2 linked regions of the Arabidopsis thaliana genome follow. The protein of the gene in region 2 interacts with the protein of the main gene of each other region in a pairwise test. Each region holds a gene or a part of one and is shown on either strand. Other genes may lie near its edges.

Region 1 (6,482 bases), on a different chromosome or scaffold from region 2:
TTTCTTGAATCCATGTCTTTCTACAAGTATACCTACTGTTAAATTTCCATACAAGGCTACCATGTACATACCTTCATGCATATGTATAAGTAATTGGTGTTAGGTTGACCTATCTGTAGTCTTAACAAATAACACAAGTTAACAGCTTACTTTTGGTTTTTCTTGCTGACAGGGAATCTCACTGATAATCACGGTTCTTCAAATTGTCCGCGTACCAAATCTTAAGGTATTACCAATTCCTTATCAAATGTCACATGGGATTGCCGTTACAATCATGAGGGCACTAAATATCACATGTTGACAAACACCTTTAGCCATCTCGTACCAGCTTTGTTTTGAACCATCACTTTTCCTGTGTATATATTCTGAATTTGTGCTCTAACATGTTGAAAATTCAACTGTCTAAACCAATCAGTTGAAGACTGAAAATTTGATTGCTGCTGGTAGACGGATACAATCATTTCTGCCAATGTATAGAAGACCAATCTCTATAATAACAATATTAGTTATGATGACTCATTGAACTCTTACGTAAACAGGTCGGGTTTGTTCTTCTCAGCTGTGCCTTCATGTATGACATCTTCTGGGTTTTTGTTTCAAAATGGTGGTTCCGTGAAAGCGTGATGATTGTGGTAAGTTTTTCTTTTTTGCTCCAGACCATCATGCAAGAAGACTTTGTTAGATATTCCAACTACACATACTTATCTGTCTGCTCCACACTGATATTATCGGAGAATTGTACGTCTTTTCCCATTTTCCCACATATAGGTAGCCCGTGGTGACAGAAGCGGAGAGGACGGAATTCCAATGCTACTAAAGATCCCACGAATGTTTGATCCTTGGGGTGGCTACAGCATAATTGGATTTGGTGACATTATCTTACCAGGACTGCTTGTAACTTTCGCACTGAGGTTTGCACTGTTACAATCTCCTCTTGCGCTCTCTCACATTATTACTATATCAAGATCTCAACTAAACTGAGTTATTAGAAGCATACAAAAGTATGAAATGATGCGCAAATGCGGATATCAATGTAAATCAGGACAACAAACCAATAGAGGTGCTCAGCGAAAACAACAAAATGTGAAAAGGGTTTATCAGAAACATTGGGGTCATGATATACCTTTATATCCGCATTTGCGCATCATCTCTGACAGATTTTTTATAAAACAAAATCGCTTGAACCTGGCAAAAAAATCTTATAATCCGACATTCTGGTTCAATTTAACCTTATGTCCTTATGCTTTGTGTCTGTTTAATGTGGTTTGCAATTTTTTGAAGAACTTGTAGATAGAAATATACATTACATAGTCTAGTAAATAGATGAGTGTGAATGAATCAAATGTCTTCAGAGAAATCAGGGTAAGGTTGCACTAGGTAGACAAATGGAGACAAGATATTGTTTAGAAAAAGAATTGATAACTGTAGGGATGTGTTTTCAGGTGATCCATCTTATCATTTTCAGTAATAAAAAGGAAACCTATTATGATAAGTACCTTAATCTAATGTTAAATCCGATCAAAATCGTGCACCGTTCTGCAGGTACGACTGGCTGGCGAACAAGAGGCTAAAGTCAGGGTACTTCCTTGGGACAATGTCTGCTTATGGTCTAGGTATGATCCCTCACGTAGGGGAGAAACGAATAAGAAATCTAGTAAAGGTTTTTTAATATGATTCTTGACAATCACAGGTCTTCTCATAACATACATAGCTCTAAACTTGATGGACGGACATGGGCAACCGGCTCTGCTTTACATCGTCCCATTCATACTAGGTAAGAACACTGAACCCACAACAGATGTTTTGGAACCAAAAGCTATGTATGTTTTGAAACTAAGAATGGTTTGTGGTGCAATGTGTCAGGTACTTTGTTCGTGTTGGGTCACAAGAGAGGTGACTTGAAGACGCTGTGGACAACAGGGGAACCCGACAGGCCATGCCCTCACGTTCGTCTTCAACCTCAATCGTCTTAAAACAACCTGCTATGTATCAGATGGGAACAGATAAAAATCAGATGATCCTCTAGTTTTTTTTTATTGTTAATACAACACACCCCTTCTTAGGTCAATATATATGTCTCTGTACGCTTTCACACAACTAGACAGGAGAGCCCATACCACATTTGCCTTAAATAACTCTTTTAACCTCTCTTGCTAGTTTCTCTCTATTATTAGACATGAAACCATGAATAGACTTGGCTTCTTTTCCTGAGTCATGATGATCAGATTTTCTTCTATAACATACATATGTCCAACTAGTATTTTACAGATTACTAATGTAAAAGGGTCACAAGTTTTTTAGAGGAATTATATATAGTAGCAACTAAAATTTTTCATTAATATGACTGATAGTAATAAAAACTGATGCTAACACTTCTAATATAAAGTTGATGTTGATAAAAGTCTAGCTTAACTGAAAAGAAAAGAAAAAAAAACGAGTCTTGAAAATAAATCAGAAGTTGTTGTTGTTGGTTTGTTATGGGCCGATACCGGTGACCCATTAGAGCACGTTGGACCTATAGTTAAAATGCTGGAAAAGATCTTAAAAAAATTCTAGTGATATTTCAAAATCCGATATTCACCTAAACTTTCGCTTTAAACATTTGCTTTTCCGAATTTTTTTGATAATAAATATTGCTCCACTAAAAATATAATCTTAAATTATATCGATATCACAAGTAAAGTAATCATCAAGTCAAGTTCAGAGTCTCTCAGATCATCGTACCGAATCTATAGAGGAAGCAGCCGATCTCGCTATCAGTCGGTAATATACACTATCATTCTACTTTCCTAATTTCTCTTCTTCTTTTTGTTTTCTTTGAGAATTGCATGACAAACCCTTGGAAAAGGGTTGTTTTAAAATCATCATGAAATTTGAGAATATGATCGGTGGCTTGATTGAATTTTCGTTTTGTGTGAGTGGTCTTTCTGTTTGAGTTTTAAAATTTCGGAGAGTGGCGTTTTAAGATTCGATACCATATCCTTGGATAACTATTAGCCAGAACAATACTTTCAAATTTTAAAGCTTTGATTAGAGTTTTAAAGCTTAGGGGAGGATCACAAATTTACAATATTGATCTTATGAATAGAGAACCTCTCTACTACTACTCTTAAGATTTGTTGATTAAAATAAACAATTGTGGCATGTATGGTTAACTTTGATCTTCTTGGTATTTCGTTCTCTGTTTGGCCAAGTAATACTACATACTAAAGCTTTTTGGTTGTGACATTAGTTTGAATAAACTAATGACAGAAGCAGAGCAAAAGGCGGCTTTCCTCGGTGGTCTTGTTGTCTCATTCAAGGAGCAAATGCATACTGATGTTCTCGTTAAACCTGGTGAAGAAGCTCCACCCATACCTACCCACAAAGCCGTTCTGGTAACAGATGATTTACATTTTGCTTTTATATTAATGTCACAGTTCTAGTCTCAAGACATTACTATATTTAGATATGATATGATAACACTGGATCATGATACGACTGAATAAATCTGTTTTTGTTCTAGGCGGCAAGATCAAAGGTCTTCAGGAACATGTTAGATTCTGATGAATGCAAGACCTCCCCCGAGGAATCAATCACTCTCCCTGATTTGTCCCACGACGAACTCAAATCTCTTCTCGAGTTCCTCTACAGCGGTAACCTAAAAGCTCCATACAATCAATACCGATCCCTATATCTGGCTGCAGATAAGTACGACATTTCATATCTGCAAGACGTATGCCGTAACCATTTCATCGCATCTCTGAGCTCTAGGAACGTCCTAGACATCTTAGAGCTCGCCAGTATACCTTGTGACACAATCTTGAAAGACGCGGCTATCAATCATATTGTCAAACATATGGAAGAAGTGGTTGTTCCCATGAAATATGAGACGTTTGTGCAGAGGAACCCGGATCTAAGCGTGGAGATCACTCGGGCTTATCTGAGAGAGACCAAAGCCAAAGCCAAAGATCATGGAGCTCCTCTAAATGGTAATACTCGCCCACGCATCTGGTGAACAAACAGCTTGTGTAAGTGGATCGATCTCACTTGCCAAAGGGGATTTGATGGTTTCTTCTTTTCTTTCTAATAAGAGTGAAAATATTAGTAAAGACTTGTTTTATGGATTATCAATTCAAGGTGTTTTCTTTTTTTCAATGTACCCTTCATAAATTAAACCTCTTTTATATTATTTTGTTGTTTTGGTTTAGAATTCTAGTTGGAACAAGTTGTGTGTTAGATTTGCAGGGAAGAGCAACAGCAAGCTAGACTGAAATTGTATAGTTGCCGAAGTATTATGGCTAGATCACAGTAGATAGATAATTATGAAAAATTACATGAAATTTAAAGGTGTTTTCAATATTATATCTTTTAGCTTCTTTGACAGTAAATATATAATTGTTGGCATTTGGCGACACTCAATATGTTTTTCATTTTATTCAAATAAAAAATAATACTAGTAAGTAATAATTTGGAAATAGAGGTGGGCCGTAGTAAGACCTATAATCAGGTCTCCTGAATAGGAACAAGTGGCAATTTGCCTCCGTAGATGTCGGGAAGTTGGCTTTCGTCTATGTCTTCAAGCAGCGTTGGAGTGAGTTTCTTGTTCTCCACGAAAACAATCTGCCCCCCCAAAAAAACACGAAATTAACAATCAAATTTTCCAACACAGTCTTAAAACATACTAATAAAGTGATTGTGAAGCAGAGCAAATCAATGTACCTTTTTCTTGGTGTTGGCGTCGATAAAAGGATAAATGACCTTCCATGCGGTCATGAAAATGTAGGGGGCATGAACTATATAGAGTTTCCCTAATCTCTCTGGGTAACAATCCTGTAAAACAAGGTTTTCTTAATGTGGGGGTTACTCACTGTCAGGACTCACGACCATGAACAATATTACTAACGCAATATTTTGCTAAAAATAGGATTACAATCATGAAAGTTCCTTTTCAAAAAAAATCCATAAACAAAGAGAAACAAAAAAAAAGAAGCCAAGTGTGGCCAAAAGGACCAAAATAACAAAAAGACCTTTAACCTGATCACCTACTCCAAAATAACAAAAACACCTTTTAAAACATAGTAAATAGTACTGACGAACAAAAGGTTTCTTAGTTGGAAGTCAAACTGAATTCTCTATATTTGGAGTTAAGTGGATTATTAGCAATATTTTCCTTTATTAGTGATAATTGCTAAAAACCTAAATGTTTGTTTCAAAAGATATGATAGGCGAATTAAAGGAAGTAACCTGCAAAGTGGAAAGAGCAGCAAGGTAGCCACGGATGTCACAATTAGAATATCCCCAGCCTTGCAGATCTCCAATTGCTACGAATTTCTCTTGACCTCTCGGCATTCTAACATGACAACATTCAAACAAACAAAAAAAGAGCATTAGCATAAATGGTTTCTTATATACCCACACTAACTTAATGTATGTAGTAATATTATTATTATTCACCTAGCACAAATCTTCTCGAGCGTGTAGACAACAAAACGCTTGAACTCGTCAGGGTTGCCTTTGGAAGGGTTATGTCTGTTCCCAATGGCAACAGCGATAGGTCGACCCATCTTGTCATGACCTTGCATACACATCTTGTTATGCGATAGATCATTTGCAATCTCTGCTTCTGGTATGTGCCCCTTTGGGAGCATGCTTCTCTTCCAAGTCAGGTAATTTAGAAACATCGTTGAAGCCTTTTCAATGTCCAGGTCACGCGCTCTCAGAAACCTCCTTATCATCAGATCATCCACCTCCTGCAAATCCAAATCATTAGGGCTTTTATCAAATCAATACTTTTCTGGTTGAATTCTTTTTTTACTTAAAGAAATCGATAGGGACCTTAGTTTCAGGATCTTGTCGGTCGCAGAGAGCTCTCATGATCCCGACTTTGCTCCTCTCGATCTCATCTTCGATCAACGGAACGGTCTTTTGCTCAGCTGCTGCTGCTGGTTCTTGCTTGGTCTCTTTGTTTTCCATTACGTTTCTCCTGTGAGCGACGACCAGATCTTGAAATTGGTAGAGAGAAGAAAGAAGTAGGATCGATCATAAATGAAGACAGCTGCTGAGAGAAAGATTTTAAGTGTCATTCAATGCAAAGTTGGGCTGCTTTCCCCTTCAATGGCGACGCTCACCAACTACTCTCTTCCTTACAAAAATTCTACTCATTTATTGACTAATCCCAGGTCCCCGACTCTACAGGAAGAAGACGATTATATCGTATTGGGCCTTATTAGAGCCTATTGGGCTCGAGTTGATTTGTCGTAAAGACTTGGTCTGTGGTTTAATCAATCTCTCATGCCTCAAAGTGTTGACTGATTCAGAGGCCGTTTTAGTGTTTTGAGCCCACGTCAGAAGCTTGTCTGTCGTCTGTGTGTATAAAACAAAATTCAATTCACGATTTTTTAAAATATTGATCGTATCTTTTTCCACATGTATGTAAGCAATGAAGGATCTGCTTCGTTGCAAAATATTAGTTTTTCTTTTGATAGGCATGTACCAACTAA
Region 2 (6,610 bases):
TGATGATGTAGGAATCATGATGCCAGGAAGCGAATTTTCCTCCTCCTCCTCTTCCTTTTCATTCTCCCTTTTTTCCTTCTCCTTCTCTTCCTTATCCTCCTCCTCCTCTTCATCTTCGGCGTCATAAGGGTTGATTGTGCTGATGGTGATTCTGAAAGATTGAGTTCTAGGGTTTTGGTGACAAGAAGGCCATCCCCATGATGATGAATTTGAATTTGAATAACATGAAGATGAAAAACTCTTGTTTAAAAATGGGACTTTCATAATTTTTCCACCTTTGTTGTTTGCTATCGTTTTATTTTTTGGGTGGATTCAAAATGAGAAATATACTTAGGGGAGTATAAATACAAAATGAGAAACTTAGTATTTATTGTTGAACCTAAAAGTATAACTTTGATTAAAAGTAAACAAGGGTTTAGAAAACATCATTGACCGTATTACATGCTGATCCATAATTTTACTTATAAGTTTGGTCGTACATATTTATCTATCAACCATAACAACAATTTGTCCCATTCGTCTGCGGTCCGTCTAATTCTGGTAAACATAATAATAACCGTACCTATCACAATTTATATTCTTTTTAATGTTCCTTTAAAGCTACTCGACACTCAAATGTTAAAATATGGATGTAACAATATATCTTCCACTTTTAATTTCACGGTGTCACCATATTTATTAGTTGACAACTTCACTTAAGAAAACTGGCTTGTGATTATGCGTATATATCCTAAACATAATGCAAAGTTTGAAACGCAAGTTTTCACATAGCACTACATTTCGTGGAATCTAATTTTCCAATATCAATTTAAGCATATTTCTATATGTTGCTAATGTACATGTAAATATGTAATGTTTCTATTATAGTAAATTAAAATGTACTTGCTTTCGACTATATGTATATAATTATTTCACCCACTTATAAGTTGTTGTTTGGATCCAAAGTTCTTAATTAGGACACCACCACATTTATTTATTGTTTATTTTGTCATCATGCAACCGAATGTCAAATATATCTATACTAAACGCATTTTATAATCTCTAACTATATCATATAAGTATATTGTGAAAGAAAAATTATTTTCTTCTTCTCCATTCTAAAAACGAAATTTTACAATAAAAAGGAAAAAAAGAAAAAAAAACTACAGAGATAACATTTATCACCATAAGATCCAGGCTGGATCAATCCAACCATGAGTGTTAATGTTTGGGCTTGAAATCTGATGAAACATAAATTAATTGAGCTTCTGAGCAATGTGTAAATGTGTTATAGGTTTAATTACGTTCAACCACTTTTTTCATTTATTTAATAAGTTGATTTTCCAAGACCACTCGTAATCAACTTTCATGGAGTCCGTTTATGGTTAAGACCACTCGTAATCAACTTACAAGCAAGTTAAACAGTGTCCTAAAAGTAGAAGTCTACATGTCGAAGAATGATTGTTTCTATGTCAAGAACGACGACGCGGAACATCAAGAAGTACATGCAAATCGACGTGCATCATCATCAATAAGAAGTGTGCTAATTGTAGAAAAAAGTAACACTTAGTTTTCAAAGGTTCTATTAATCACCGTAAGCATTGGCTTTAGATGAATCACAGAAACAAAAATAAGGGTTACGAAGCTGTTCATGGCTTCTTTTTCCATTAGTTCGGATTACAAAGATTCATGATTTTTTATGATACTTTCTTGTTTTAACCTTGGTGTATTACATAACAAATAACCAATTAAATATAGCAGATTTCATTTATATATAAAAAAAGGGCTGACACAAAATGTTAAATTCAAAAGATTGAACACATGGAGTGAGGAAGAGAAGCTGTTTTTGATATTTGCACACAATGATAAAACTTCAGATGATCAATCGGACAACATCATCATCATCACCATACCATCCACACAGACCATTTTTTGATGAATTAAAAAAAAAAAAGCGTTGAGAACGACAATGGAGGACCCCCAGATACATACTTTGGTATTAGAAGGGGCAATGATTTTCTAGCAAACCAGAAGAAGATTCCAGAAGTAACTAGAAGCAAGTACCTTCCGGAGGTTGAACAAGCTTACGGTTATGCGACGTAGACATTTCCTTCTTCAACTGTACCAGTATATCCTCCATTGTGTACTCTCTTTGCCAGTTTGCAAGTAGCCCAAATTTCTTAGGATCCACCTATACACATACGCATAAAAAAATTACAGAGCATCCAAAGAAACAAAACAGAGAAAGGAAGGGCGGTGGTGAGTTTATACGTACCACTCCTGTTTCGTGGTTGACACAAGCCATGTTGACACGTGAATGGAATCGGACAGTTGGAGGTTTCTCCGGGTAATCTTTGTCACAAAAGAGCTTCAACTGATAGATTCTACCTTCATGAACAGTCTGTGACATAAAATTTATCTCTGTTACTACAAGCAAAAGCAACAATGGCATAATCTGCTCAAATAAAGCTTAAGAGATTGTATGTCGATAAGATCAATGCCTAGAAAACAATGTGGTTTTGATGTTCTGTATTCCAAGCAATGAGATGCAAATAATATTAATCTATGCTTCTCAAAACAATTGTTAACATATATGAAGACGAAGGAGAATGTTAGCAGATAAAGAAAAAGATATAACTACGTTGTGAGGACCGATGATGGTGCCAGTCCAAGAACGCATATAGATGTCATCTCCATCATCCATTCCATAGCTCACAGTTCCATCCCCAATACCTTTCTCCCCACGTTCAAGCTCCTCCAACAACCGAAAATTCCTCGGAACTATATTGCAATAACAAGCGTAACAAAAACAATTCATATCAGTAAATGAAAACAAGCAATCACTTTTTTTAATCAAAGCAGAGAACAGAACATATCATATTAATCATTATCCACAAAGACTAAAATAAGATAACACTCAACAAAGTTAACAATGAGCTATAGAGAAGATGAAAACATTCCTAGCTAAGGTCTTAGAAACAATAAGAAACTCAGGAATAGCATTTTAAACCCATCTCAGGAATTGAGACATCAGCAAATCATTCTCAGCGATTTGTTAAAATTGATTGATTCAGATCAAGCTATATGCGAACAATTTAGACAAAGCTACAATTTTTTATACTAGATCGATAGAACCTATGAGAAATCTCAACACCTATTGATCAAAACGAATAAAACCAAAAGAAGAATTCACCAAAACCCTAGAGAAAAAAAAACAAACGAGGGATTATTCCAAAACCCTAGAATCAAAATCAAAAAACGAGAACAAACCCGAAAGAATCGAAATTTTATACCAACAACGCTAGATCCTCCTGAGCCAAGAGTCATAATTGATGAAGTTGTGGTTTCGATATCCGATTGATTTTGAGATCTGACGAGCAGAGAAGAGAGACGAGAAGAAGTAAAGGGAGAATCGAATAGAGAGAATCTGGTGAATAGACAGAAAGCTAAAATGGGAGGGTCAAATTTGGCAAATCGGGTACTTTTGGGGAGACTGGAAAAAGTTATTTTTTTCAAATTTACCGCCCAAATTTGTTTTTCTATCATATAATTCCTTAAATTATGATAACTACAGAAACACCCCTTTTATTTTCGAGTTTTGACAACATCTATTTGTTATTATTTTAACTAGCAATGCAAAATTTCTATATACATGAAAATTATTGAAATATTAAAACTCGCTTGATTTGCAACTAAATTATCGTAAAATGTAAATTTCTTTTTCAAAAATCATGTTAAAACTTTAGGATAAAATGTTGTCACGTATATATGTCGTCGCATGTGCCTTAATATATATGAAAAACAGAAATTAATTATTTATTAGATTTTTGAAAATTTAGTACTTATAAATAGAAAAATGTCATAAAATACATTAAAACAAATTTTAGTTGCTACTTTTTCACTAAATTTAGGTTTAAAAATATTTTCTTAAATAATTTAATATTTGAAGTTTGTAAAAGTTCTTAAATTTTATTGAATTTGATGGTGAATTGTTTTGAATAAATAACGTTTTAATTGATGAAGATACAACTTTTAACCTTAATTATTGAAAATTTCATCGGATTGAATGCCGATGAAACCAAAGCAATACCATTATTAGCATACTACCAATTTGATTCTTAAGACCCTAATTCGAGACGTGTCGATTTTTTTACTTGTGTTTAAATTTATATTTTGTAATTTTTAAAAATAAACTTTCTATTTTTTTTGGCGTTTTTCATTTACATTGAAAAACTATGTTTCTCTGGAGTATACAAATAAATAAATATAAACGCAAACGCCATAACTAGCGTTTGAAACAATCGAATTCAACTCCGATGAAAATCCATCCTCGTTCATGTCATTGGCTTCCATAGTACTAAAACATGAAAATGGACAACTTAACAAAATGAACCAAGAGGGACGGCCACAAACAGAAATGATCTGTCTGTCAATTTAACATATTAAAATAGAGATTATAATTTAAACAATATGATTTATATAGAGGACTTTACAAAGAAAATTAAATTCATCATCTCAAACTCAAAAGTCCAAATTGAATAATAACTTAAAACAAATTCTCTAAAAGAAGATCAAGTCGGTGCATTTGCACTTGGGGCAACGTTGACGTTCTTGTAAGACCATAACATACATCATACAACTTCGACATCCCATCACCACCATCTCCGGCGCCTCTTCTTCATCAACCCACGACGATGCAACCTCCTCCTTCACTTCCTCCGTCCTCGTCAGGCACGAGTTTTGTGATGATGATGTGTCGCTCGATGGTGATCTTCCTTCAAACCTCCCATTAGCAACCACCGACGCCACGGTCCTCGCCGAGGGCTCAACGCTACCTCTTTTACCATTCTTGTTTCTCATTTCGATACTTCGGTTTCGTCGAGAGGGTTTTTGTATTCTTGTATTTGTTTTTCTCTGTGTTTTTCTAGGGGATGGGTTGATGGTAATGACTTCTAAAGAAAATGTATGTATGTAATATATAAGGAAGAAGAGGAGCTAAAATATGACTAGGAATTAATATTTGTTGAATAAAGTAATTATGTTGTGGAGAGAGATATGACTTTGTTTATTTCGTAATAATTTTTTTAATTGGAGGTGGGAAAGTTAGTAAAAGTATAGTAGAGACAAATATATGAAACAAAAGACAATTCAGTAAACAATGCATTAGTGCATTTAAACCAGTGCAGCAAACTATTTATTGCTAAATGTAAAGGGGAAGACTTAAATCTTACAATTTAAAAGAAGAATTTATGATTTTTTATTGGTAATCTAAATTTTAAGTAATATGTCATCCATTTGATTTGTTAATGTAACGTTAAATTATATTTCAAGAAAATAACAGTTTTACAAATACTACGATTTGTGTTTGAAAGAATTTAAACTTAGGGTTTAAAGAATAAAGAAGAAACTGAATTTGTCATCCATTTCACAATAGTTTTAATCTTATGACTTCACTTTTTTGTTTCATAAATTTGTCGTTTTGTATATTTAATGTATATTTTAAAGAAACTTATAGTTTATTTATATGGCGTATTTTATCAATTAGACTTTGTTTGTTTGATTCATTTATTAGTTAATACTACTCAATGTTTTATCTATTAAATTGTTTGTCACAGTAAGACTATTATTCAACTGATTTCTTGAATGAAAATATGTCTAAAATAACTTTAGTGACACCAATACATATTTTTCTCATAAATGTTTTTACTATTCTCTCTGTTTCATTATAAATTTTGTTTTATAATTTTACACGTATTAAAACCTATTAATTTTTTAATTGTATAATTTATTAAATTTTCAATGTTAAATCAATAAACTACAATAATACAAATATAGAACTACATGGTGTGATTTATAGTCATTTTAGAAATAGTGTCTAGAAAGTATGGTTCATTCAAGAAAATGGTCTAATAATAGTTTATAGTATGAAAAAACAATTTTGAATATAGTTAAAGATAGAAATAATGGCTAGCACTAACTAAAAATGAATCAAATAAAAAGAATTCATCTACAATTTACTTTTCGTTATTAAAAATTAAATAATAATAGTACGTTTATACAGTGAAGCATCCGTTTCAAAGTTTCCAACGACGGTTTCATGCGCCAGCTAAAAACTTCTTTTTGATTGATAATCAAATGGACATTCTGAAGGTACCCACAAAACTCAACTACTTTGAGTTACTTTCCAAATTTTGAATATAAATCAATGTTTTTGGTGGTGACAAATTTTGACAATATAAAAGAATGAAAGATGTAGATAGATGTATGTAAGTAGTGCTTGCTGGTAGTTAAATTGGATATTCAAAGGTGAAAACCATTAAGATGTTTCTAACTACCAGATTCACTAGTCATTGTAAAAATTATCACAAAATGTTTAGCAATAATTTAGAAGAATAAAAGGATATCCATTAATGTTTTTAAAAAAAACATTTCCTTTGATTAATCTAATGATGGTAGTTAAATTACTTGACTTTAATTTCCTGTCTTTTTATTTTAAAACAGGAAATTATTTGGACGAAAGGTTATGGTACAATAAACTTTATTACTGTACTTTTAATGTTTCACATATTTGCATAACTTTCATTTTTCTAAATTGTTACGATCAAGATAGCCATTGATTTTCATTTGAACA

Evidence for each region. Proteins that work in one complex are often made in the same cells at the same time.
Region 1: the proteins of UEV1D-4 (region 2) and AT1G01640 interact in a two-hybrid assay, tested with the Arabidopsis thaliana proteins (one large-scale study listed by BioGRID).

What each region holds. Positions count from the first base shown.
Region 1 is NC_003070.9:228,679-235,160, reverse strand, and holds AT1G01640 (BTB/POZ domain-containing protein), read left to right. Parts: upstream 1-2,530; 5' UTR 2,531-2,763; intron 2,764-3,232; 5' UTR 3,233-3,245; coding exon 3,246-3,377; intron 3,378-3,505; coding exon 3,506-3,997; 3' UTR 3,998-4,253; downstream 4,254-6,482. Other genes in the region: SPPL4 (SIGNAL PEPTIDE PEPTIDASE-LIKE 4), read left to right, coding at 173-226, 540-632, 769-911, 1,543-1,613, 1,691-1,774, 1,864-1,973; AT1G01630 (Sec14p-like phosphatidylinositol transfer family protein), read right to left, coding at 4,486-4,602, 4,702-4,812, 5,227-5,332, 5,437-5,732, 5,818-5,955. UniProt on the Arabidopsis thaliana protein: May act as a substrate-specific adapter of an E3 ubiquitin-protein ligase complex (CUL3-RBX1-BTB) which mediates the ubiquitination and subsequent proteasomal degradation of target proteins.
Region 2 is NC_003074.8:19,492,649-19,499,258, forward strand, and holds UEV1D-4 (ubiquitin E2 variant 1D-4), read right to left. Parts: upstream 3,448-6,610; 5' UTR 3,307-3,447; coding exon 3,273-3,306; exon of another isoform or gene 3,250-3,272; intron 2,761-3,249; coding exon 2,621-2,760; coding exon of another isoform or gene 2,618-2,620; intron 2,435-2,617; coding exon 2,255-2,434; intron 2,171-2,254; coding exon 2,030-2,170; 3' UTR 1,729-2,029; downstream 1-1,728. Other genes in the region: AT3G52550 (transcription repressor OFP15-like protein), read right to left, coding at 1-264; AT3G52561 (uncharacterized protein), read right to left, coding at 4,540-4,839. UniProt on the Arabidopsis thaliana protein: Has no ubiquitin ligase activity on its own. The heterodimer with UBC catalyzes the synthesis of non-canonical poly-ubiquitin chains that are linked through 'Lys-63'. This type of poly-ubiquitination does not lead to protein degradation by the proteasome.